Caenorhabditis elegans: one gene and its partner. The protein of the gene in region 1 interacts with the protein of each later gene in a pairwise test. Each region holds a gene or a part of one and is shown on either strand. Other genes may lie near its edges. The genes, in order: fbxa-171 and Y105C5B.19.

Region 1 (5,539 bases):
AATATTTCAAGACCAATATTCCAAGTGGCTGTAACTATACCAAACAGTCAAATTGCAATCCGCGCGTGTATCCTTTATGAGCATCTTCACGGGAAGATGCTTACAGTGGCATATAGAAACTTCTGCGACAAAGTTGGGAATGGTGTCATTGAATTTGAGTCTTTTGAGTTTTGGTTTAATCAATTCCAAACTGGGAATCATGATTTGAGATATGATATTGAGTAATAAAAAAAACAATGATATTTGGACTATGGTTAAACTTTAGAAATTCAGGAATGCGCTTGAACCTCGTTCTTTGGCAGAAATCACTTCTACAGCCATGGCTTCTGGTGTGCTTTAGTAGAGCTGTAAGTCTTGTGAAGGTTGTAGGGAGTAATTGGGATATTCAGATCCGAAAGCAAATCAAGGAAATGTTTGGATGGAGCTCAGAGCAGCATATTGTCCAAATTCGATCTATTACAAGCTGAACAGTATTGTTTATGTACTGTTGAAAAATATATGTATGATTGCTACAACATAAAAGAGTTAAAAGTTATTTTATAAAAATCCGAATCGATAAAATTATATTATCCGTTTAACTTGAAATGAATTAGGAGTAATTTTCAAAAGGAATTTTTTGTTGTGTCGTGTGTAATTTATTATCGGCCATTGATTGCTTTGATATCCTGGTACGAATACATTTGCAATTTCAATTGGATCGAAGTCGTCGGATTCGAAGTTTGCATATTTGAAAGTGTCGGATTTCATCAAAATCTGAAACTATGTTAATTGTTTATACTTGAAGCGTAAAGTCTGCAGCAAATGCCTAAGCCTAAGCCTAAACTCCTAAGCTCAAGAGTAGTATAAGTCCCACACGACACCCCCATCCCACACCAGACCCCCCTATTGACCTCTCCCAAAATGGGGTGTCCATCTATGGATGTCCATTTATGGATGGCCATCGTTTTTTATTGATCTGTTTTTTTCGTTTATCATGGAACTGTTTTTTATTAGGAAAAAATGTTGTACTGTATGGGAGAAAATCTGAAATTAAAAAATATTTGAAATCGAGTATGTGGAATAAAATGTTTTCATTTACACTTTTAATATGTTTCATTGTGCACCCCTCCTCTCTATTACTCCGCCCCACTGCACAATCGAAAATCTCATAGTCAGTCTAAAGAAATTTAGAACATCATTATCCAAGTTGACACTTTCACGACAACAAGCCCCTACACTGAAAGTCATAACTCCTGGCCCTTCATATGGAGCTTGCAAGAAAACTTAGGTCATCCGAAAGCTGTGTGCACTATTAAAGAAATTTCTTTAGAATGAGTTTTTTGATTGTGCAGTGGGGCGGAGTAATAGAGAGGAGGCGTGCACAATGAAACATATCAAAAATGTAAATGAAAACATTTTATTCCACATACTCGATTTCAAATATTTTTTTAATTTCAGATTTTCTCCCATACAGTACAACATTTTTTTCTAATAAAAAACAGTTCCATAAAAAACGAAAAAAAAAACAGATCAATACAACAGAACAATAAAAAACGATGGCCATCCATAAATGGACATCCATAGATGGACACCCCATTTTGGGAGAGGTCAATAGGGGGGTCTGGTGTGGGATGGGGGTGTCGTGTGGGACTTATACTACTCTCAAGCGTGAGCCTAAGTCAAAAACTTCAGACTTAAGCTTCTTGGTGACCTATACGTCTCTCTGTGAAAATTCGCGTTGATCGGCCAACTGGAACCCTCTCAAAAATTTTAAAAAAAAACGGGAAATTCTTGAGCCTAAATACCGTCAGTGGCGAGCGTTAGATTGGCAAGCGTCAGCTCGCCAAGCCTAAGCCTGAGCCTAAACCTAAGCCTGAGTTTAGAATAAGATTATGCTTAGAACTGACCCTAAGACTAAACCTAAACCTAAGTCTAAGCCTAATCCTAACCCCTGAACCATTCAAAACTTACATCTCGAATTTTAATCGCATCATCTTTTGCGAAAAGATCCACAGTAACGTCAAAATAAGCTAGATGGAAGAACTTTTCAATGTTCATGGAGCAAGTGTCACTGTCAAAAATTAAAGCTTTTGCATTTTTCAGCTGAACTGTATCCATTAATTTTGTGCTATGGCCGTCTGTAGAAGAGGCAAAAAAGTGAACAACTTCGAGCGTTTTAGGCTCGAAGTACGGCAGGATTGCGTCGATTTCTTCGTTTTTCAATTCACAAACTAGTTTTCGGACTCGTAATTTGTTCATCGATCTCAAGACGTTCAATACATCGTTGAAAATGTTTTCCCGAATTTGCTCAGACATTTGTGCTTCAAAAAGTACGGAAAATGTTCGTGCGTCTTTAGTCACTACTGTATTGAAATCTTGAAGCGCTATTTTCCGATAATCTGTTCCTTTGATTTGAATTTTTCTGTTCTCGTAGATAATTGTGCATCCGTTTGGTACTGGGCAGTAGTTGACGGTTCTTTCGTTCAAAAATAGTCTTGCTTCATCTTTTTCGAAACATATTCCCATGGCGTTAAAATGAAATTCTTGTTGGTCAATTTTGTCACGGAGAATGCGCGAAACTTTTCTGGCCACGAATCTTGAAAAATTTTGGATTGAAACCATATTGACTTTTAGATGAAATTTATGCCATTTGAGAAATCGTTAAAAACATTTTTGGTCAAACATTTGTTTTAATTGTTTTTTGAAAACTTCCCAAAATTCATTTTTTCGGAGACATTTCAAGGTGTTTCTATAGTTGTAAAACTTCATAAAAAGACGATGAAAAAAAATACTTTGATGGAAAAACTCATCTGAATAATTCATATCTACTTTATTGCTACAATTTTTGCATAAGGACCTTTTTTGAATTACATGGGGTGTGTATAGAAGTCTATGACCACACGGTAAATATCATACTTTCTTTATAAAATCTCACCTATCGCAAAGTTCCATTTTGGCACAAATTTCATTCCAAACTTTTTCCGGCATATTCTGCAGGGAAGGTTCTTGTGGCTCACTGAAAAACATTAAAATTTTCTGTAAAGAAGCTTAGCACTTACCCATTAAAATATTCGACGAACTTCCTGCACCACTCTTTTTCGGAAATTTTGTGTGGAACGTCTGATGGTGGATTGATCGAGCAACGCAGATCATTGGAATTTCGTACTTCAATCTGCCTATTATCGTCCTGCAAGTCATGATTACCATTATAAAATCTATGAAACCAATATTCAAATTCTTTGTAGGCAATCTTCTCCTTCAAGGTGTTGCAAATTGTTTCATAGGCTTCATTCACAGTCTTTTTCTGGAGCACTTCGTAGAAAATACAAGATCGAATGAAGGTTTTGGAGTAAGGTTTTTGAGCGGTGGAAGTCATTTTGATATGATGCGCGCGGCAAAAAAATTACATCAAAATTTTAGACTTAGCAATATATCTTCACCGAATTCTTCAGTATTGACATTGGAGTTAGAGGGCACTTGCACTGCTGGAGAGTTAGTCAGAGAAAGGAGAACAGTCGAGCATGTTGTTTCGCAATAAAACATTTTTTTTTGTTGGGTTTATATGTCCTTCAGCAATTGCATTCTTGAACTGGCCTAAATAAGATGTCCTTGCAGATCCGGAAACAAACTGAGGGGAATGGAACTCTGTGCAACTACTTGCTCCACCTTCATATATTTCTAGCTGATGAACTGTAAAATAAATTTGTTTGTATTAGTTTTACCAACGTCTCTTTGACACTCGCCCATTCAAATAGTTACAACACCCTGTTCCATCCTCAGGGTTTTTCAGGATTTTCAAATTTTCGGCGATATGGGCCTACCGGCAAGCTTTTTCGAGATTTTTCCAGATATTAATGGTGTACCAATTTCCCAAACATTGAGTGGAAATTCCAAAAAATGGAAGACGATTGTTATAAGAAATGGTAAGAATATGATCTTAGTTACATTTTTGCGCATATTTCATCCCAATGGACGTTCTTGAAAATTTCTCACAATTTTCTGAAACAAACAAAAGATTTCAAACATTTTTGTGATATATTGCTAGCCACATTCGTCTAATTTTCCAAGTCACATTGTTCCAGTTTTGATATTGCTAATTTGGTAGACCTAATTCTGGTTTGATTCCTCAGTCTCTCTAGTCTCTTGGCGTTGTTGTATACGAACTGATATTATCTCCTCTGATCAAAAACCAAGTGTATTTGGCGAAAACACGCAATCCAAATAGGGATATAAATACGAAGAGAAGAAATTACCCCAAAAAGATCAGGCAAATCTACGGCAAATCAGTAAAGACTTTTTGTATTTTTCGTGGTTTTACTTCTCGATTTCAATTCAATTTATTTTTTGAAAGACTATTTTAAAGTGGTTCCGTCTATTTGTTTTTACATATGTAGTTTGGCTTTTGATCTTCTCCTTTCTAAAAATTGTATTCAATATTATGAGTTACTTTCCCTGCATTTTTCATTAAAAAGTATGTATTTGCCGCACATTCTCCATTCGTTCGACTTATCATCATTTTTTCAGAGAACATGAAAAAAGAATTTCTGCAATTCTTCAGTCTCTTTGTCGTACAACTTCGTTTTTATCTCCCGTGTTAAGAAAGAGAATCAAACAGAAAAACGCAAACAATAAAATTGATTTTAAAAAAACCGCTGTGACAACTCGTTTTCTCATAGCGCGTTGAAAAAATGCTTCTCGTTGTAATAGTTTATTCCAATTTAAATTTTTTTGATTTAGCAAGAAACGACTTTCTTAGTTCGTTTTTCAGATTATCCGAAAAACTAAACATTAGTAAAAATGGATGATCAGCTTGAAAAAAATTTAGAAGTAGGAGAATGGAAAAAATGTGAAGAAAAAGCAGAATCTCCGTGAGTTGTTTCGCAATTTTTCAGCAGAGTGAATTAAGTTTTTGTTAATTTCAGAGTTGGGAACCCTTTTCTACTTCATTATGATCACTTAAATCTTTGTGTTTGAATGCAAAAACACTGTTACTAATTAAGAGCGTAGTTTTTTAGGGAGGACCAACTAATTATGTGGGGATGCAAATTACACCAATAATTCCCAGGTGAGCAAAAATTCTTACATTAATACAGAAACAGCTGCAGTTCTACTACAATGGAACAATCAGTTGTTATATATACCGTATATTCTCTATTAGTGTTGTCGATTCAGCCCTTCGAGGTCAATCTCGACAACCTTTTTAACAGTGCTCTGATATAGGTTTCTACGGAATAGCCCACTATTCTTAACCTATATCAGCTCGACCGCACCGTTGAGCATTACTCCAATTATTATCTCTTCATTACATTTTATTTCATTCAAATCCGTTCAGTATTCGCCGAGATATAAATATATCTATAAATATTCGTATTCAAATCACGCGCCAACACCTTATGGTAGCGCGCTCGCGGCGAGACCCACGCGTCTCTAACTTCTTGGCATCGCGCCAAGTCCACCGACCGCCCGCGGGGAGTTCGAATATGTCCGTCAATTGTGACGTAATTGAATACCAATTCCGGTGTAATCTCCACGTATCGTTTTCCCTCACGTGCAGATATAC
Region 2 (5,171 bases), on another chromosome or scaffold:
AGATGAAGCATTATTGATTAAAACTGATTATGTTGTCAAATTATCAAATTTGGTTCAGCTGTGTGAAAAAGGAACATAATATTTATGAAAATTTCTCTGGCGCACTTATTTAAAAAATTTAAAAATCAATATCGTGTAAAAATACGTTGACATTATTTCATTGTACACCTTTACACTTAAACCAACATTGTGAAAAAGTACTTGAAGTATTTTTGAATTTGACGAACTCTTTATATGCAAAAATGGCGCATTTACTATATGTTCAAACTTTTTTTCCAACTATAAAAGTGAAAAGAGCTATAAAAAATGCTAAAGTACTTAAGGGCACTGAAATCTTTTTAAAGTTGGAGTTGAACATCATCTGAGCCGATGATCTCTGAGATCAATAAATTTAATTCATGTTGATGCTAACAGTTCCAATAAATGAACACCATGAAACAATTTTTATAGATTTTGTGCTCAAATTTGAAGTGAGCAACAGTTTTCTGCGCAGTAAAATTTTCACTGTTGACCCAAAACTATTTTTTAAACAGTTATTATTGATTCTTTTTAATTTATATTTAAGTAATATGCGACTCTACAAATTGTGGCTGGAAATATAGTAGAAAATCTCGAACAGAGCCAAAAATTGCACGGGACTGCAATTTCACAACAAAAACTTTTTACTATGGGACTAACATTTCATTTTAATTTTAGCTCATGTTTCACAACACATTGAAACAGTAAAAATTTGAAATTTTCAAATTATTGAAACCTTGAGAACTATGAGAGGAGCGCTGGAAAAACTTTTATATAGACAGCTGAAATGTTTTTTTTTCAGAATTGAAATACATAAGTTAATAGAAAAGTCAACAAAATATAACAATTTCAAAAACAAATTATTCCATTTCCACTTCCTCTTCGTCATTGAAAATTTCTGATTTTATACTTCCTTCTGGGTTTTCTTCGTTTACCTGATAGTTACACATCATTTCTGAGCCATTTGGGAAAATTAGTCGGGATCTGAAAAAAATTATCGATTTTTATAAAACTCAATGAAATCACAAACTCTTTGAGCTCTCCATCCTCCTTGCGGAGTTGCTCTCGGAGCCATCTTGTGGCATCTTCACTTGCTTCGTTTCCATACATTTTGTTGTGGCGGCCTCTCACACGGTCTCTGAAAAATAAATTTAGTACTGAGCCCTGAGACAGTAAAACTCACAACTTATTGCCCATAACGTCGGTGACCAGCTTCCTCACTCGAAACTTCAGGTCTCGCGATTGTTCTTCGCCGAACCCACCGAGTATGTACTCTGGAAGAGGAACATGGTTTTTTTAATATTAAATTTCCTACTGTTTCAAAGAATTTATAAATTTTTGGTGAAACGTGTGGAAAACTAACCAGCAAACCCTTCGAAAAAGTCCCTAGCGATGGGAATATATGTAGAAGCGTTTTGTGAAGTTGCGTAGCACATCATATGGGGGTCCGCAATGGCAACCTTAAATTTTTGGAGTTTACGCAAGATTCTATAAAGTCTACGCAAGACTCCACTAAGCATACCTTATCGAAAACCGTTCTCGCCAGAGCTCTCACAAGAGTCACCAAGTTAGCCGTCGACCAATTCGACACATCTCCATCCGTCACAACATCGGAAATCATGAACCATTTCCTGCTGGGCAACGTCAAAGCTCTGTCAAACTTCTCGGCTGAGTCAATTGAGAATGCCTTGTTCGTTGTGATCGGTTCCGTGATTTTCTCCGCTTTTCGAGAAATCTTCCTGTGCTGCTTGTTTGCCTGAAAGCGAATTTTTTTTAATTTTCGAAACTTTTGGAAATTGCTCACCATCGCCGTAGTGAAAGCCATTCCAAGTGCCATTTCCTCCATCAAATTCTGATTTTGTGTTCGACACCGCTTGGCGAAATTGAGCCATTCGTAGTAGTCAACATCACGGTCATTTTTGATGAGTTTCTCCAGGTTTTTCTGAAAAATTTGAAGATTTATTTGGCAGGGCTAAGGTCTTGACTACAATGATGTACTGTAAGCAACTGACATCTTACGAGTTAGACTGCAAATTCCGTGGTGGGCCCGTAAAATGTCGGCTGCTAGCAACAGCAGTTTTAAAAGAGTCCACGGGTAATATTTTGTTCCTATAAACAAGCCGACATTTCACGAGTCTCAACATTCAATATTGTTCTAACTGGGCCATTGTGGTGTCGGCTGCTATCAAATTTCAAGCACTTGGATTTCAGCTCCCGACACTTTGCGAGTTTCTTTAACAATACTGTAAAGCACCGACTTCTGCTTCCGTTCGTTCGTTTTAATGTCGGCTGCTAGCAAAAGCAGTTTTAGAGGAGTTCGCGGTGAGATTTTGTTTCTACAAGCAAACCGACATTTCACAAGTCTCGCCATGCAAACTCGTTATTCTAACTAGGCCCGTGCAATGTTGGCTGCTATCAGATTTCAATCGTCTGAACTTCAGCGCCCGACACTATACGAGTTGCTCTAGAAATAATCCCCTCAAAACCTACCTCACAAGTCTTCCGATCCAATGGTTCCCCTTTCGCATAATCGTACAATTCGGAAGCAGCGAATCCAATCGGCAACCACATCCCATGCTTAGAGGCCTGAAGAAGGGGTGCCGAAGATGTTTGAGCAATTGGAGATGAGCTGTACTCTATCGGAAGGGTCTTACGACGAACCATCCCATCTCCATCCAACCAATCACGACAGAACTGCTTGGTGGATCCTTCAGACGTATTGGTCCATTCGACAGTGATACGGTCATTTGTGGTATCTACTTGTCCGAATGCAAAAGCATCGCAGGAAATTGTTAGAAGAATCTCCTCACTTGGATCGAGTACTCCACAATTTGGAGTGCACATCGTATCAACTCTGAGTCTTTTCATATATGTATTGATTCCATAAGCAATACGAAGAGCCGAAGTATTGATTAATTTGATTTTAGATTCTTGGTTTTCATTGTACGGAGCATTGAAGATGATTTTGCTCGGTTGGAAGTCAATTTCTCCTGGTGGAAGGGATTGAGCCATCACGGGGGAAAATTCTCGGGGTCTTTTAGGCTCAAAATCCTGGTAAACCTTATGTTCGACTGGAGCAACTAGAAGATCTTCCGGTTTTTGTTCGCATAGGAGTGGATACGGAGCAGGTCTTTTTGAAGCTCGGCGGGACATCTGAAAATTGAATTTTTTTTAGATTTTGAGCGTTCAAATAAAATTCAAAAAATCAATAGTGATAATCGACGTGGTGTCAGGTACACACATTCGGTTTGATCTACGAAAAATGCGGGAATATTTATTCATAAAAATTGTGACGTAAGCACGCTCTAAACCATGCAAAATCAGATGATATGTCTGCGTCGCTGCTCCCACATTTTTTGAAGGTCAAAGCAAAATGGGACTTTCTGACTAGCACTCGTTTTTTTTAAATTAAAAAAAAGATTTGAATTAAAAAACCGCGAATTTTCAAAATTAGTGAATAACAATATAAAATTCACGAGAAACAAGAAACAACACAAAATAAAAACCGATAAAATCGAAAACGTCACCGCACGGGAAGCATTGTTTGCGCGCAATGCCTCCCGCCGCGAGTTGAGAGACCGAATTAGTGTGAGAGACGCAGGTGGTGGTAAGAGAAATGACGAGAGACGCAGAGAAAAGGAACGTTTCAGGACAACGGACGTTGGTTTACGAGAGGGGGGTTTGGAGCGTTTTTAGTGTTTATTGATTGGTTTTGATTAGAATTTTGAATTTTTCGAGCGTTTGCCCCACAACAAAGAGATGGCAAATATTAAAAAAAAACTGTTAACTGTTAGAGAAAACATCTACTGTTTAAACAACTAAGCATAAAAGAAAAATTAAAATAAAAAATTAATTAATTGAAAATACTGTTTCAAGTTTGTATTTAATATTGATGTAACTTTTTTAAAATGCTGGGGAAAATAAAAATAATTTCACTTTTTCAACTGCAAATCATAGCTCCAAGAACAACTTGACATATTATTGGACTGATAATCTGTTGTTTCGGGAACATTTGTTAACGTTTATTTTTTCAAAGATAATTCCCTATAAATGATTTTTAATGAAAGAAAAACGCGGAAATCCTATAATTTGTTTTGCATTTCGAGAATTGAAATTACAGTTTCAAGTAGACTTAAAATTACTAGATAAATTTGATCATTCAATAATGCTTTTAAGTTTGTCGAAATTTCGAAGAAAAAAAATTTGTGAAACTGCTTAAATTTTCAGAAATTAATATTATAAAACTGACTAGTTTCATTATTGTTCGTGTATTGGAAATATTTGAAAATTAGCTTTTACTGCACTGATTTATATCTCATATAGGTGAGTGAAACTCGGTAGATGTCGGGCGCTCATATTTCGTTAGCGTTAGGCGTTCTTGAGAAACCCCACAAGTAATGTGGAATAATGTGTTGATTATCGGGTTTTTTTTTCACTGTTAAAACGACTGGAAAGGTCGAAGGATCTATCTACTAAAAATAGTTACTCAAGTTTTTCTTTTGAAAACCAGTTGAAACATCTCTGACAAAATTCAGATTTCTTTTCTCAAAAAAGTGATTTGAAATTTATAAAATAATTGATATTTCTAGAACACATTAAACAACTTTATGAAACTGTTTTTGGTGTAAAATCATTTTAAATGAAGGAAAAACGGAAAAATCATATAATTTTTTACGTTTCGAGAATTGAAATTACTGTTTCAAGTAAGAAATAAGATTTCAAGAAAAGTTTACTTATTCAATAGTAATTTAATGATATGACAGTAATTTAATTCAATGAAAAAAATTGAACCATTTTCCTTCAAAAATTATCAAACTTTTCCACAGTTTTCGAACTTAAACTACTGCGAAGCCTAGCGCGCTTGACGCGCTAATCTACCGTTCTAACTTTATAAAATTCATAATCAGTAAAATTTATGAAATAATCAAAATTTTAAAGAATAAGTATTTTAAAATGTTATATTAGATACCTTATCTGCTATTCAAAAGAATGAATTGAAATATAAATAAAACGCTCCCAAATATTTTAAATGCCATCTGCATTTCGATCAATCTAGCAACAGTTTAGGAAGTTGTTTTTTATTCATGAGCGTTCAAAAAAAAATTGCGGTTTTAGAAAGTGGACAAACGGGTATTTTCATATACATATTGATG

What was found.
Region 2: the proteins of fbxa-171 (region 1) and Y105C5B.19 interact in a two-hybrid assay, tested with the Caenorhabditis elegans proteins (one large-scale study listed by BioGRID).

Annotation. Positions count from the first base shown.
Region 1 is NC_003283.11:17,562,649-17,568,187, forward strand, and holds fbxa-171 (F-box domain-containing protein), read right to left. Parts: upstream 3,356-5,539; coding exon 3,039-3,355; intron 2,996-3,038; coding exon 2,915-2,995; intron 2,576-2,914; coding exon 1,951-2,575; intron 754-1,950; coding exon 562-753; downstream 1-561.
Region 2 is NC_003282.8:15,980,800-15,985,970, forward strand, and holds Y105C5B.19 (Major sperm protein), read right to left. Parts: upstream 3,172-5,171; coding exon 2,509-3,171; intron 1,961-2,508; coding exon 1,823-1,960; intron 1,775-1,822; coding exon 1,541-1,774; intron 1,479-1,540; coding exon 1,382-1,478; exon of another isoform or gene 1,378-1,381; intron 1,293-1,377; coding exon 1,202-1,292; intron 1,157-1,201; coding exon 1,049-1,156; intron 1,003-1,048; coding exon 879-1,002; 3' UTR 776-878; downstream 1-775.